Daphnia pulex: one gene and its partner. The protein of the gene in region 1 purifies or fractionates together with the protein of each later gene. This does not show direct contact. Links are inferred from orthologs where the notes say so. Each region holds a gene or a part of one and is shown on either strand. Other genes may lie near its edges. The genes, in order: putative tRNA (cytidine(32)/guanosine(34)-2'-O)-methyltransferase and WD repeat-containing protein 6-like.

Region 1 (6,567 bases):
CCGTTTACTGGTTTGGTCTCATTTCCACTCAGTAGCAAAGCTTAAGGAAGCAACCTTGAAGTTTTTGGCAGCCAACAGTCTTGAAATCTGCTCCCAGCCGGAATGGATACATTTGATTAAAAACTACCCAGAATTGTGTCTGCTGGCTACGCAGCACATGTCAAAACTGCTCAACAACACCAGCAAAACTAACAAATCTGCCAATTATTATCATAATGACGTGGAACAAGGACTGGAGTATTAACGTGCACTTTTACAAGCGTGCATTACATGCTAAATCGACTTAATTTCATTTTTCCCTTTCGGATTTCAAGTGATAAACACGTAAAATTTTTGTGTTACCCCTTTACATATGTTAACTTCTCATTCGCGGTCAACCATTTTATTTAGTGTATTTGTTGTAGAAGTTTTACGCTTAAAATAAAAATGTAGAGGTTTATGTTTATGTAATTGTAAACTTCTTCGTCATTTTGCTATTGCATAGAATAGCTTTGTTAAGTGCTGAACTATTTTCATGGACTTTGTGTGAAGCTATTTCTAACCTTCCATGCACAAAAAAAATGTTTTATTTACACAGGAGTTGCATCAATTTATTTGCAGGTATGGGAGATTAATTATCATGTTTTTATTTGTAATGAAAATTTTAGAAGAAGAAGAATGCCCGCTGCCAAATCTCTCAGTGTTACTGTCAAAGTTCGTGATTTCTGATCTTGACTGGACTCCTACAAAAGCAATGGCATTCCTAGTTTGACCAACGCAATACTTTAACTTTGTAATTTTTTTTTTTTCATTTTTGTAACCAAGTTTCTTCAGTAAGGAAATCTTTCTCTAATACGAAACCAACCTGTCGACACTACGAATACGAAAATGCAAGATGTGTCTAAACTTACACAACTCACCGCTGTAGACGAAATGTGGAAAGCATGAAGAAGACATCCGCTTTAGGCTTGGTGGAATACTCCATTCAGAACCACACCATCATGAATATTTAAACCCACGAGTAAGTACAGGTAATTTACTGATATTTTACTTCGTAAAAAACACAAAACTGATATCGAGTTAATCGTCGAAAAATGCCATTTGACGATCCTCTCCTTCCAAGATAACAAATTTCCTGGAATTGTCGTCTATTCGTATTGATCTCATAGACACTAGGTAAAATTCTTGGTCTCTTTTCTTTTCTTCTATTCTTACTTTTGAAATGGGATTTAACTAACAAAATTTTCATTTATTTTTCAGATTGGGAAATATTGCTGCACTAGCTGCAGTATCAAAAAGTATGGCCTCTGCGAATCCGAAAATGCTTCTCATTTTGTGGCCCCAGTTTTTTCTATGGTGATGTTTCCAGCTCACATCATCCATGCCAGAAATGACTTAGTGAAGGTTGTATTTTTAGTAACTAGTCGAACTAGTCTACTCAGCCTTTATATTCAGTTCATTTGCCATTCGATATCAGCCTATATTTAAGCTTTGTTAGGGATTTTTGGCCTTCCAATTATTCTCAGGCGGCGAAAGAGACTCTACAAAGCATCGTCGGCAGCCGCCCAGACTGCAAAGAAAACTAGGAAGAAGGTCTACGCCGAAGGAATTCATTCTTGTTGGAGCGCCGTACATCATCGTCCCCCACAGATCGAATAGTGCCGACGCTATTATTATTGATATTTCCGGAATCTCACCTTGAAGAATGTGTTCCATCCGGACGAAGATTGCAACAAGATGTGTTCTCATGCTATCATGGATTCAATCAACTTAAATCTTCACTGAGAGTTTCGCATTTTTTGGGTTATCGCCAATCGGCCAATGTCATGAAAGTGAAACCAGAGGAAGGAGTCTATACCCAACCAACTACACAAACACACAAAAGAAGAAAATCGTCAATAGGCATGAATTGAAGAAGGCGTGTTGGGGCCCGTGGCTCGACCATCTGCTGCCGCGTAGCCGATTTTATCAGCATATCGTTGGAAGCCACGAAAAAGTAAGTCGAAAATTAATCTCTCATCAATGACGACAACATTGTCCGTTATACCATAGACTATACCGCTTGCGGTACAAGTTTGACATTTTCTTACTTTAAAAAACACTTTCTCCTTCCCATCCTATTTAAAAAAATTAACGACCATTCATTTATTGTTGGATATGTCCGCAAATATTCCTAGGAGTTGTCACGTCTGTCGTCCTCCACTCTTTTTGTATCCGGATGGAATTGTTATATCAGAGCATCCCTGCTGCTGCCTCCTCCGCCATCACTTTCTTCTTGGTCTTCTGTCATTTTCACTGCCGTTGTCTTCCGCATGTTACGCTAAAAAAGATTCTCTGTCTTGTGTCTACACAGTCAAATTTTCAGACAAATTTCCGTCTTCAGTTAATTTAACAACGTTAACCAACACGTCATAGTTAACCAATCGTTAGAGTCGTCTGCTAACATTGCACCATTTGTTTTGTATCCTTGCATGCTGTCACTCAGTGTCTCAGTCTTCTTGAAAAGTCTGCTGGAAACGTGTTGTATCGAGACTTTGTTATCAAAATTTCGTCGTATCGTCAACAATATAATAATGGGAAAAACCTCAAAAGATAAACGAGACGTTTATTACAGATTGGCTAAAGAAGAAGGATGGAGGGCTCGTTCGGCTTTCAAACTACTACAAATTGATGAAGAATTTCGTATATTCGAAGGTATGTTAAAAGTGTATGGATATTTGGTATTTTATATTGATTCTTGTTCTTTTTAAGGAGTTAAAAATGCAGTGGACCTCTGTGCAGCTCCAGGCAGTTGGAGCCAAGTGTTAACCAGAAAGTTACATAACAAAGATGAAAATGTTTCTGCTAAAATTGTCGCTGTAGATTTGCAAGCGATGGCACCTTTACCTGGTGTCATTCAAATTCAAGGTGACATCACACAGTTATCTACAGCAGAAAAAATTATTTCCTATTTTGAAGGGGAAAAGGCAGATTTGGTTGTCTGTGACGGTGCACCAGATGGTATTTATAGCTGACTTCATGGGTTTACTTGCTAATTTGACTAAATGCTATCAATTTTCAGTTACTGGATTGCATGACATTGATGAATATGTCCAAGCCCAACTGCTTTTAGCAGCCTTAAACATCACCACTCATGTTCTCAAGGATGGTGGGATTTTTGTTGCCAAAATCTTCAGGGGACGAGATATTACATTGCTTTACTCACAGCTTAGAATATTTTTCCCTAAAGTCACCGTGGCAAAACCAATGAGTTCCAGGAATTCAAGTATAGGTATGTATATGGTGGGAGCATATATTTTACAATGTAATAACTATTATTTTCCCTTTTTGCAGAGGCATTTGTTGTCTGTCAGAATTATTCTCCTCCAAGTGGCTACATCCCAAATATGTCAAATCCTCTGTTGGACCACCAATATTGTGACTGGAATGAATGGGAAGGTCCTAACAGAGTGATAGTGCCCTTTTTGGCATGCGGTGATCTCAGTGCGTACGACTCTGACATGAGCTATCCTTTGGACGCAGAATATAAATTCCGGTAATAAAACGGATGTCGTTATGACGACGAAACATGAAAATGTATGGCTTTATTCATAAAACATATTTCTTTTTTTAATTTATAGACCACCAACACAAACTCCGATAAATCCACCGTACCAAGAAGCCGTTTGCATAAGGAAACAAGATCAATTAGCAAAGCCTGCAGTGGATCAGCTTACCAAAATGGAATCTCTTGAATTGAAGGAATAGATAGTAGTTTACTTCGTCACGACAAATGCTGAAGAAATATCGTTTGTTGCAACATTTTTCATTGCTGTTGTATTTTCTAGTAGATGATTATGCCTCTAACTAATCATTCAAATATTAATCATCTACCAGAAAATATAACATTTAATAAACAACAAAGGAGGACTTGGTCTATGCAATCGTGCAATTTCTCGTTATTTCATTGAAACAACAGTTCTTAAGATGAATTATGTCAACTCAACTGACAATTTTTTTTATTAAATTTTCAAACAAGGTTTACATAAAAAATATAAGCACCAGTACCGATGCTCACCTAAAATTGAAATTTTAACTAACTAATGATGGAGTGATTAAGGCTATTTTAGGTTTATGTATTTGGCTGGCCTGGTTGGTGTAATTATTTCATACAAAAACAACATTTCTATTTTCTAGTTCCATTCCATCTGATCTCATGATCTGTAATCTTATTTTGTATTTCGAAAAATCTTGTAGTACCGTAGTAAAATTTTTTTTTTAATTCTATAATTTAAAATAGTATTTGCTAAAATAGAATAAAAACAATAAAAATTTGAAAAAGAAATTTAACAAAAACCGCAAAAACGTTACAAAATAAGCAAAATCACCATTTTGAAAAATATGGCAATGTTGCATTTCAAACCGTTAGGTATTTGAAGAACTCGAGCCTCCAACAATTTGAATGTTGCCTGCTGCAACTGTTAAAAGCCTCCCTTGAACGAGAGAAGACGTTCGTGGTGACCGTTGGTCCGAAAGTTTTTAATTTAACCGCCAATCTATTCGAGAATTATTTTACACACTGTCTTGATTGAAAAGACGAGCATTTTTAACCCCCATTCTATTTTATTTCATTTGATCGGTGTCGATTTTAATTACGAATTTCAAAATGAATTCCAATAAGCCAGTACCTGAACCTGAAATCATCCCTGATATTCTTCTTGATCCTGGCACCAAAAAACGTTACGTGAGAGGCAAATTTCTTGGAAAGGTAAGAGAAAAGTTGAAGCAATGTAACTTAGCAATTGAAATAACAAATGGCTTTCAAATTGATTGAATAACTAGGGTGGGTTTGCCAAATGCTATGAGCTCACAGACAGCGCTACCAACCAGATCTTCGCTGGCAAAATAGTTTCCAAGCATCTTCTGCAAAAGCAGCACCAGAAGGATAAGATGGCCCAGGAGATTTCTATTCATCGCTCGCTGGTCCATAAACACGTTGTTGGATTTTACAGTTTTTTTGAGGACAGTAACTTTGTCTTCATTGTTTTGGAGCTTTGCAAAAGAAGGGTAAGTGCCATACCATTTCATTTGTTTTTCGAATTAGTTTTTTCAATGTTGTGTTACTTTTTTAAGAGTCTCATGGAGTTGCACAAAAGAAGAAAGGCGATCACTGAACCTGAAGCTCGGTGCTTCATGCACCAACTTCTTCTTGGTGTTAAGCATCTCCACGAACACAAGATAATACACAGAGACTTGAAACTGGGTAATATTTTCCTCAATGAAGACATGGAGCTCAAGATTGGAGACTTTGGCCTTGCAACAAAGTTAGATTTTGATGGCGAAAGGAAAAAGTAAGATATTTTGTGCTCACTGTTTGTAAGCTTTTCTAAATGTTTTATCTACTTTACTGTTGATAGGACTCTGTGTGGCACTCCCAACTACATTGCACCCGAAGTTTTGTGCAAAAAAGGCCACAGTTATGAAGTGGATATTTGGTCTATGGGCTGCATTTTGTAAGTTTCATGTTAAATAAATGGTGTTGGAATGTTTATTTACTTTCTTTGCAATCCCTAGATACACTTTATTGGTTGGGCATCCTCCCTTTGAAACACAGTCGCTCAAGGATACCTACAGCAAAATCAAAAAGAATGAGTTTCATGTTCCGTCTCGTATTGGTCCTCTGGCTCGTACTCTTATCATCAAAATGCTTCAAGCAGATCCTAGCAGCCGGTAAGTTGAATTTCTACTTGCACTTTTTCGTGGTCTTGTTTATTAAATCCGGGATTTTCTTTCTAAATAGACCCACCGTGGATCAATGTTTGAACGACGACTTCATGACTCAGGGTTACATGCCTTCGCGCCTGCCTTTGTCTTGCTTGACTATGCCACCGCGATTTGATCCTCGTCTCAACAACAGTCTTATTGCCGTCCGTCGACCTCTCGGCGAAATCAACCGGGATTCCCCTCTTATTTCCAATGAAGTACAAGGTATAATGAATCGACCATTTTTTTTCCTTTGCAATGGTTTGCTACATTTCTACGTGTTATTGCAGGCGTCAAGGGCGAACCAGTTAACTCACCAGCCACTGCCGACACACCATTTCCGGCCGTTCCATCAGGCCCATCGCCTCAGCAACTGCTCCGCGACTTGCAGCAACAACTTTTCAAACTTTTCACCTCGAAACCCAACGAGAAAGTTCCATTGCTCATGGGTAAGATTGTTTTTGAATTCCGCTGAAGTAATCAACACATTTCATTGCAACTTTGTTTCATCTTTAGATGAGGCCGAAGATCCTGCTGCCATTCCGATGGTGTGGGTTTCCAAATGGGTCGACTATTCTGACAAGTACGGCTTTGGTTATCAGTTGAGTGACGACACGATCGGTGTCATTTTCAACGATCTCACCAAGCTGCTATTGCACGTCGATGGAAAGTAAGTTGGAGAGATCTTTTGTTTTGATTTTAAATGGCTCAAACTAACGCAACTTTATTCTTTCTTTAGAGCCATTCAGTACGTCGAACGAGATGGTATTGAAAAGTACCACACACTGGACTGCTACCCTCCTCAGATGGAGAAAAAGATGAAGCTGTTGGCTTACTTTCGGTCGT
Region 2 (6,996 bases), on another chromosome or scaffold:
ACCTGGATTGGCCGTATGGGCAGGCGGTCTGATAAGTGGACCAGCACTGTAACGATAATCACTCCACTTCAGACACAAATGTACAGTCCTTCGGTTATTTCAGTCAATTACATCCTTGGTGGATTAATTCGAATTTTGCTTGCTCTATTTCATTCTTCAATTCTTCATGACAAGTCACCCTGATAAGTAATGAAGTCGTTAAAGTTTTGCTCAAGCGTTTGCTTTGTAGAGATAAAGAAAATGATAAAAGCAGATTTTGATTTCGATATATATTTCCAATGCACGCAAGGTGTGTTCAACACGGGAGAAATAACATAACAAATGAAGTCATCTGATATTTAACATTATTGATACTATCTTTTCAGCTCTAGACAATTTTGATGCGTCAGCTGTTTTATGTAGACTGAAGTACGAATTATGTTGAATACGACGAGGGAACTGGATAATTTAAAAATTGTGCTTTTGATGATAAAGGAAAATGGTGAAATTAATTCAGATTTAATCTTTCAATTTTTCGAAAATTGAAAGTGAATTGACTTAAATGAGTAGAAATTATAACTCGCATTAGGATCTCACCTCTTAAACTTTAAACTGTTGAAAGTCAAAAGCGTTTGGTGTTAAAAAGTCCTCGAATTTGGGGAAACTAAAAAAATCTTCATTGGGTCCTTTGTTGCTTTCTGGGTAGTTTGGATCCTGGTTGTAAGATGTAGGATATTGAGGCTCGGCCGGGGGAGAATAAGGAGCTTCTTCGTAGGCTGGAGGTGAATAATCCTGTGGTTTGTAGGCAGGAGCTTCGGAATAAGCAGGAGCTTCGTAGTTTGGTGACTGCGGTGGTGGATAAGGAGCCTCAGTGCTGTGAGCTGGTGGGCTGTATTCCTCTGGTTGTTGGTAAGCAGGGGCCTCTGGGTAAGCTGGTGGAGAGTAAGCAGGAGCCTCTGGATAAGCTGGTGGAGAGTAAGCAGGAGCCTCTGGGTAAGCTGGTGGAGAGTACGCAGGAGCCTCTGGGTAAACGGAAGGCGTCGGAGCTTTGTAACTAGGGACGTACGGAGGAGAGTAAGGAGCTTCAGTGTAAACGGGAGCTGGAGGGCTGTAAGAAGGTGGGCTGTAAGATGGTGGGCTGTAAGAAGGTGGGCTATAAGCAGGGGGGCTATAAGCAGGGGGGCTATAAGCAGGGGGGCTGTATGCAGGAGGGCTATAAGCAGGGGGGCTATAAGCAGGGGGGCTATAAGCTGGAGGGCTGTATGCAGGAGGGCTATAAGCAGGAGGGCTGTATTCTGATGGACTGTAAGCCTGTTGATTGTAGGATGGCTCTGGTTGACTATGCGCTGGAGCTTTGTAGTTTGGCTTGGGTGCTCCGTATTGGGCTTTTGGTGGTCCGTATTGGGGCTTAGGGGCGCCGTATTGAGCTTTAGGAGCGCCGTATTGAGCTTTAGGAGCACCATACTGTGGTTTTGGCGCTCCGTAGCTTGGTTTTTTCTTATGTTTGTCAGATTTTAAAAACCCGAAAATTCTGCTCTCCTGTTCCTGTTGTCCGCTACTGCGCACATATGTCAAGTTCCTCAAACCAACATTCGACTTTTGTTCAACTTTTTTTCCAGTGGTCTCCGCCGCTAAATTGCCATCGAATCCGACAACTGCAAGCGCCAGCAGTGACAGCAGGATAGAGGCGAAGATCTGTACAGCGTAATCAAATTAAAATGATCAACTGAATGAATTAATTTCTGAAAATAATTTCCGCGATTGAAACTGAATGAAGCAAAAATTTACCTTTGATGCTCCGTGTCTCATGTTGATTAGGATGTAAGTTTTCTTAATAGTCAATGTTATACTTGATTTCTTTCACGAAGAAGCTACACTGAAGTGAAGCTCGAGAACTTGAGATGAGAACACTGATGCAAATTTGAGAAGAATGACTCCAATTTATATCAGTAGATAAACTCCGCCTTCCTTGAAACAAGCCGTCGCCCATCTTCACAAAACACAAACTCATCCTTTGTTATTTGAGTCGCGGGTGACGTGTTTCTGACTTTCCCTGGAGCGATCGTATATTGTGTGGTTTATATTACTGGTTTGAGCTACTAACCTGGTCTGGCTGTTGTCTTATTGCATTACCGCTGATGGCTTTGAATCAGCCAAAAAATGGCGGGGCCTAGACGGTGATTGATCGCCAAATTGGCAAAACAGTGACCGCAGGAAAGTGTGAAGAAATTCGGAAGATTCCACCAATCCAATTTACCAACAACAGCTCAATTCGGATGAAAATTCGTTCCACTGCAAAGCACAATCCCGAACTGAGAAAGTGGAATGTAGCGTATTCTGCGAGCATCAATTCCGTTGTCACGATTTCGGAAAAAACCCACACGGCACTCTCTTATTTATAACCAAAATAGAAATTCAACTACTAAGATATTATACTGGTAGCTTGATTCTCGTATTCAATTAATATCCGACAATACGGAAGTTGACGATTCGGCACACATGAGAAACACATTCCGTATAATACGATATACATGCTTATTAGTAATTGCTGTCTGAAATAGGTTATCGATAAACTCGACAGGTAAATCTCTGAAGGACTGAATTTTCCAGGTTCATTGACCTTCTTTCCCAAGACCATTGCGGTTACACTAATGAAGGAAGGAAGTAAAAACCGTTTGAAATTGCCGCGGAAGTAATTTGTTTATACAACATCACCACCTATGAATGAAGGTAGGAACCTGCTAGCAGACGAAAGGTATTTTTCACGTGCTCGCTACTATTTACATCCATCAGTTTTATTTAGCACGAATTTTTGGAGGGAAGTGAAGCAGAATCATGGTACTAAAGAAATTATATTTACAAACGCATGTTACTGCTTTGTGTACCGTTGAACCTCATTTTTTATTAGAAGGTGTGTATAAAATGAAGTAAAATTCCGTTCTATTTAACAGTGTTGTTTATGAACTGCAGGTTGCGGAGGCTTTATAAACCTTTATGACTTCGACTCTAACGAGCTTTTGGAAAGCCTCGACATATTTCGAGGTGCCAGAATTCATGGTATTCGATATTCACTGCATAATAAAACAGTGATTGTTTTCGGTGGAAAGCTGTTTGCACTGGTGTCATTCAACGATTCTAAAACTGCTCTACCGAGGTTAATTGCTACATAAAAATGTAAATTTAGCTGGTTGCTATAACATTTCATCAGATTGAAACTTTTACAGAAATCCAATGAAGCTGACTGGATAAGGGATGCTAAATTTGTAAATAATGGGGATTATCTTGTCAAATTAACTTCTCACAACAAAGTTATCATCGAAAAAACGTCTTCTGAAGCAGAAACTGTTGAAGTACAAGGAGATGAACAGTGCATATTGTAAGTAGTGATGAATGCTGTTTGTAGGTTCCTTATTATTAACTTTACGTTCTACTCAGATACTGTGGCAAAATTCTGGGCGAAGATCTTTCACAGTTGACCATTCTGGCAGGGACTGTATTTGGCAACATCCTTGTTTGGGCAGCCTCACCATCTCAACAGAATAAATGTCTCTTCCACAGATTAACTGGTCACAATGTAAATCTATAGCTCTAAATTTAGTTTACTGTAAAGTCGTGCTAATATTTTTATTGCTATTGCTGTCTCTTGCAGGGTGTCATCTTCTCTATAAATTATGACGAAGTTTCGCACACTATCATATCAACGTCAGACGATAGATCTGTTCGTTTTTGGAGTCTCCAATGCGAAGACGAAGTGCCAAACAAATTGAGCCTCTGGAGTTTATTTCAACGATCGAAAATTCATCCCCAAAACGAACTTTATGGTCATGAAGCCCGTGTTTGGAACAGTGTCATAATCCGTCAAAATCAGTGTGATTCGGGACTGGTAGCCAGTTTGGGTGAAGACTCCCGTATTTGTTTGTGGGATTTGACGAGCGGCAAATTGGTATCCAAGTTTGATGCTCACCCTGGAACCAGTGTATGGGCTGCCGTGTGGGATTCACGACTCCAATTATTGGTTCGTTATTTTGACAGGCAAATACGAGTTTCGCTTAATGTATTCATGAATTTGTTTATTCTCAGGTAACTGCTGGAGGAGAAGGTTCGACACGAATCTGGAACGCCAATCATTTACAGGAAACGAGCTGTCGTCAGCTCCAGCTCACCGAAGACGGCCAAGTTCCACGTTTAGTGATCGTTACATCCACGGGTTACTACCGCCACTTGGTGGCCAGTCAGCTGGGCATCATTTACGGATGGGATAGTCACGCCCAGATTTGGGTCTCCCTCTTTCAGGACGAGGGACTCGGCAACGGCAGCGTCTTGGATTCCGACGGTCGGACGATTATATTTGGAACGCGTACCGGAGCTGTGTTCGTGTTCGCTTCCGGCCCGTCGTCCTTGGAACTGCTGGCGACCCATCAGCTGGAAAAGACGAAAATTTATAGCCTGCATTTGGTCGCATCGCAGCAGCAAGAGTTTATGGCCTGTCTCGATAACGGTCGTCTGCTGCTTATGAATGTACTCGGCGGCAGCGAGTCACCACCCAGGGCCCAATTTATTCTCCCCGACGGCAAACAGCGATGGCCCAGCTGTGTTCTGGCCACCCAAAATCGATTCATGATGGGCGATCGTGAAGGGAGCTTTCATCTTTATTCGACCGAAAAAGAGGTTGGTTTTTCGGGGATTTTTACGACCTCCGACAAACAGTTACAAATCGAGAAATGATTTCTGATAATAATCAACATTTATTACTTTATTTTAGACTCCGCTTCAATCTTTTTCGCATATCCATGGCAAGAATGGCTTGACTGACATTCAGAGCGATCCGAACGGCCAACATCTTTATTACACCGGAGGAAGAGACGGTCGAATCGGTCTCTGGCGGTTAACCGACGACCAGAATCAACTGGAACTTTTGTCACTTACTAACACCAGTCTCGGTTGGATTGCCGGCTTGCGATGGATCGACCAGCAGTTAACATACCTGGCCTTTCAGAGCGTAAGTACCTACTTATCCATATGGAAATTTTGAAAAAAATCTATAATCAATTCAAATTTGATGCAATATTTTGTATTGTGTCTATCCAAATTTATTCAGGATCGGTTCGTTGTGTGGTCGAGTGAGCAACAGCGGAGTCTCATGCAAGTGCCTTGCGGGGGAGGCCACCGATCATGGGACTTTGACGTGACGTCGTCTGATGTCACTTTCCTGTTCATCAAGGACAGACACATTTACGAGAATCGACGTCCATTGAGCGCCGTTTTCAACTCGTCGCTGCCTGGACGCTGCGGAGGGCACAGCAAATCGATTTGCCGTGGCAGGTTCGTCGGATTCCACGACGACTCGCCGCTCGTCTTGACTGGAAGTGAAGACACGACGATGAGACTGTCGCGATTGGATCGGCGTTCCGCCCAATCGCTGACCGTCATAACCAAACACGTTTCCAGCGTCCGAGCCCTGGCCGTCAAGGAACTGGCATGTAGGTCTGCAGGGACGTGGCTGTGTGTTTCAGCCGGCGGCAGAGCCCAGTTATCGGTCGGATTACTGACACTATCTGGCCAGGGCGATCAAGTGCACGTCATTCACCGTGACGTGCGTTCGCATTTCTTGCGCGGTTGGCTCCGCCGGGCGGCCACCAATAAGCCCTGGATTCACGGCAGCGATCAGCTGTCGCTCATCCCCGACCCTGAAACCCGCTACATGGACGTCGATGTGGTAGACCGTGGCGACAGCAATTTCCATATTATCGCCGCCTGCTCCGATAGCTTTATAAGGTTTGTCTCGTACATTTGTTGCGTGCATTGAAATTTTTCACTTTTTTTGTTTGTTGTTCCAAATGTTTAAAACAAAAAATTCTACTGTCACATTTTCATTTTTTTTTCCAGGATTTTTTATCTATCCCTGGAGGGTGGCCGGTTAGACTTGTTTCACGAACTCAACTTCCACAATTGCTGCGTCTTGCTGGTCAAAGTGGTGGCCGATCCGGATGGCAATACCATCCTTTTCTCCGCCGGAACAGATGGCCGGCTGGCTGTGTGGGACGTAACAGTTGTGGAAGAAGATAAGGCCATGGATCCCTTGGACAGCCTGTCCATTCATCAATCGGGCATTAATAGTTTGGACTGCCAATGGATCGACCTTAATCGCATGCTGGTTCTGACTGGGGGCGACGATAACGCTCTGATCTGCACCAAAGTGGAAATCAGCTGCGAAAGGAATTTACTGCGATTAATCGATCAGCAAAAGCTGTTCCCCCACGCAGCCCAAATCTCCGGTAACTTATTGCCGATATTGTTTGTTTTTTTTTCACTTTGAATGTTGTTTGCTGATAACTTTTAAATTGGTTACAGGAGTAGCTCTGCTGGGTCACAACTTGTGTTTAAGCGTGTCACTGGACCAGCGTCTGATCCTCTGGAAGCGAGAGGACACTCGACTTATGTGGCAGTCGGCCGTTTGCTGCGACGTCTCCGACATTCAAGGGCTGCATGTGTCCGCGGGTGCCACTAAAACTTTGTCCAAAGTCCTGGTTTATGGTCAAGGTATTCAAGTCTTTGAAGTGGACGACGACTCGTTAAACATCGCCCACACGATTTAGACTATTCATCTGTCGACCCGTTCTAACCAACTAAGGTAAAAAAGAAAAAAAATACAACATATTATTTTCTTCTTTGCACGGCACCTTTTACATCACTCTTGTCTTGGTAGTTTTAGATTATTTTGTTGTGAAATTATTTTGACGACCAAATCGCGCTACCGTTGTGAGCCGGTGATTTCAGATTTCACCTGTTTGATGACGTCAGCTGACACGACGTGTCGAAACGCTGGAAAAGTGGACCGTTTGGGAAGGAGCGCCGCGTTTATTTCATTGCGTCATTGTGACAGGGAACTTTGGAGAGCAGCGGGGTGGAGGGGAGAATTGTGCACTGGGCGCGGAATGTGTTTCTCTTTATTTATTTATTTTTTTCCTCTTCTACTTTGGTCGTATTTTTTCTTTTGTTCAATTCCAAATATGGCGG

What was found.
Region 2: the proteins of putative tRNA (cytidine(32)/guanosine(34)-2'-O)-methyltransferase (region 1) and WD repeat-containing protein 6-like purify together in Homo sapiens (affinity purification with mass spectrometry; 3 studies listed by BioGRID and IntAct, with this or other methods). This does not show direct contact. The link is inferred for Daphnia pulex from reciprocal best matches to the Homo sapiens genes FTSJ1 and WDR6.

The regions. Positions count from the first base shown.
Region 1 is NC_060025.1:8,046,540-8,053,106, reverse strand, and holds putative tRNA (cytidine(32)/guanosine(34)-2'-O)-methyltransferase, read left to right. Parts: upstream 1-2,433; 5' UTR 2,434-2,450; coding exon 2,451-2,673; intron 2,674-2,730; coding exon 2,731-2,979; intron 2,980-3,040; coding exon 3,041-3,250; intron 3,251-3,312; coding exon 3,313-3,514; intron 3,515-3,599; coding exon 3,600-3,726; 3' UTR 3,727-3,902; downstream 3,903-6,567. Other genes in the region: serine/threonine-protein kinase PLK1-like, read left to right, coding at 4,625-4,726, 4,801-5,025, 5,092-5,309, 5,376-5,471, 5,533-5,688, 5,759-5,946, 6,012-6,170, 6,238-6,391 and 1 more. UniProt on the Homo sapiens protein: Methylates the 2'-O-ribose of nucleotides at positions 32 and 34 of the tRNA anticodon loop of substrate tRNAs. Requisite for faithful cytoplasmic translation.
Region 2 is NC_060026.1:12,996,012-13,003,007, forward strand, and holds the start of WD repeat-containing protein 6-like, read left to right. Parts: upstream 1-2,588; 5' UTR 2,589-2,709; intron 2,710-2,743; exon of another isoform or gene 2,744-2,782; 5' UTR 2,783-2,814; coding exon 2,815-2,890; intron 2,891-2,949; coding exon 2,950-3,133; intron 3,134-3,187; coding exon 3,188-3,355; intron 3,356-3,414; coding exon 3,415-3,553; intron 3,554-3,628; coding exon 3,629-3,994; intron 3,995-4,059; coding exon 4,060-4,647; intron 4,648-4,741; coding exon 4,742-4,978; intron 4,979-5,077; coding exon 5,078-5,754; intron 5,755-5,865; coding exon 5,866-6,254; intron 6,255-6,330; coding exon 6,331-6,575; 3' UTR 6,576-6,610; intron 6,611-6,685; exon of another isoform or gene 6,686-6,996. Other genes in the region: repetitive proline-rich cell wall protein 1-like, read right to left, coding at 580-1,674, 1,768-1,788. UniProt on the Homo sapiens protein: Together with methyltransferase FTSJ1, methylates the 2'-O-ribose of nucleotides at position 34 of the tRNA anticodon loop of substrate tRNAs. Required for the correct positioning of the substrate tRNA for methylation.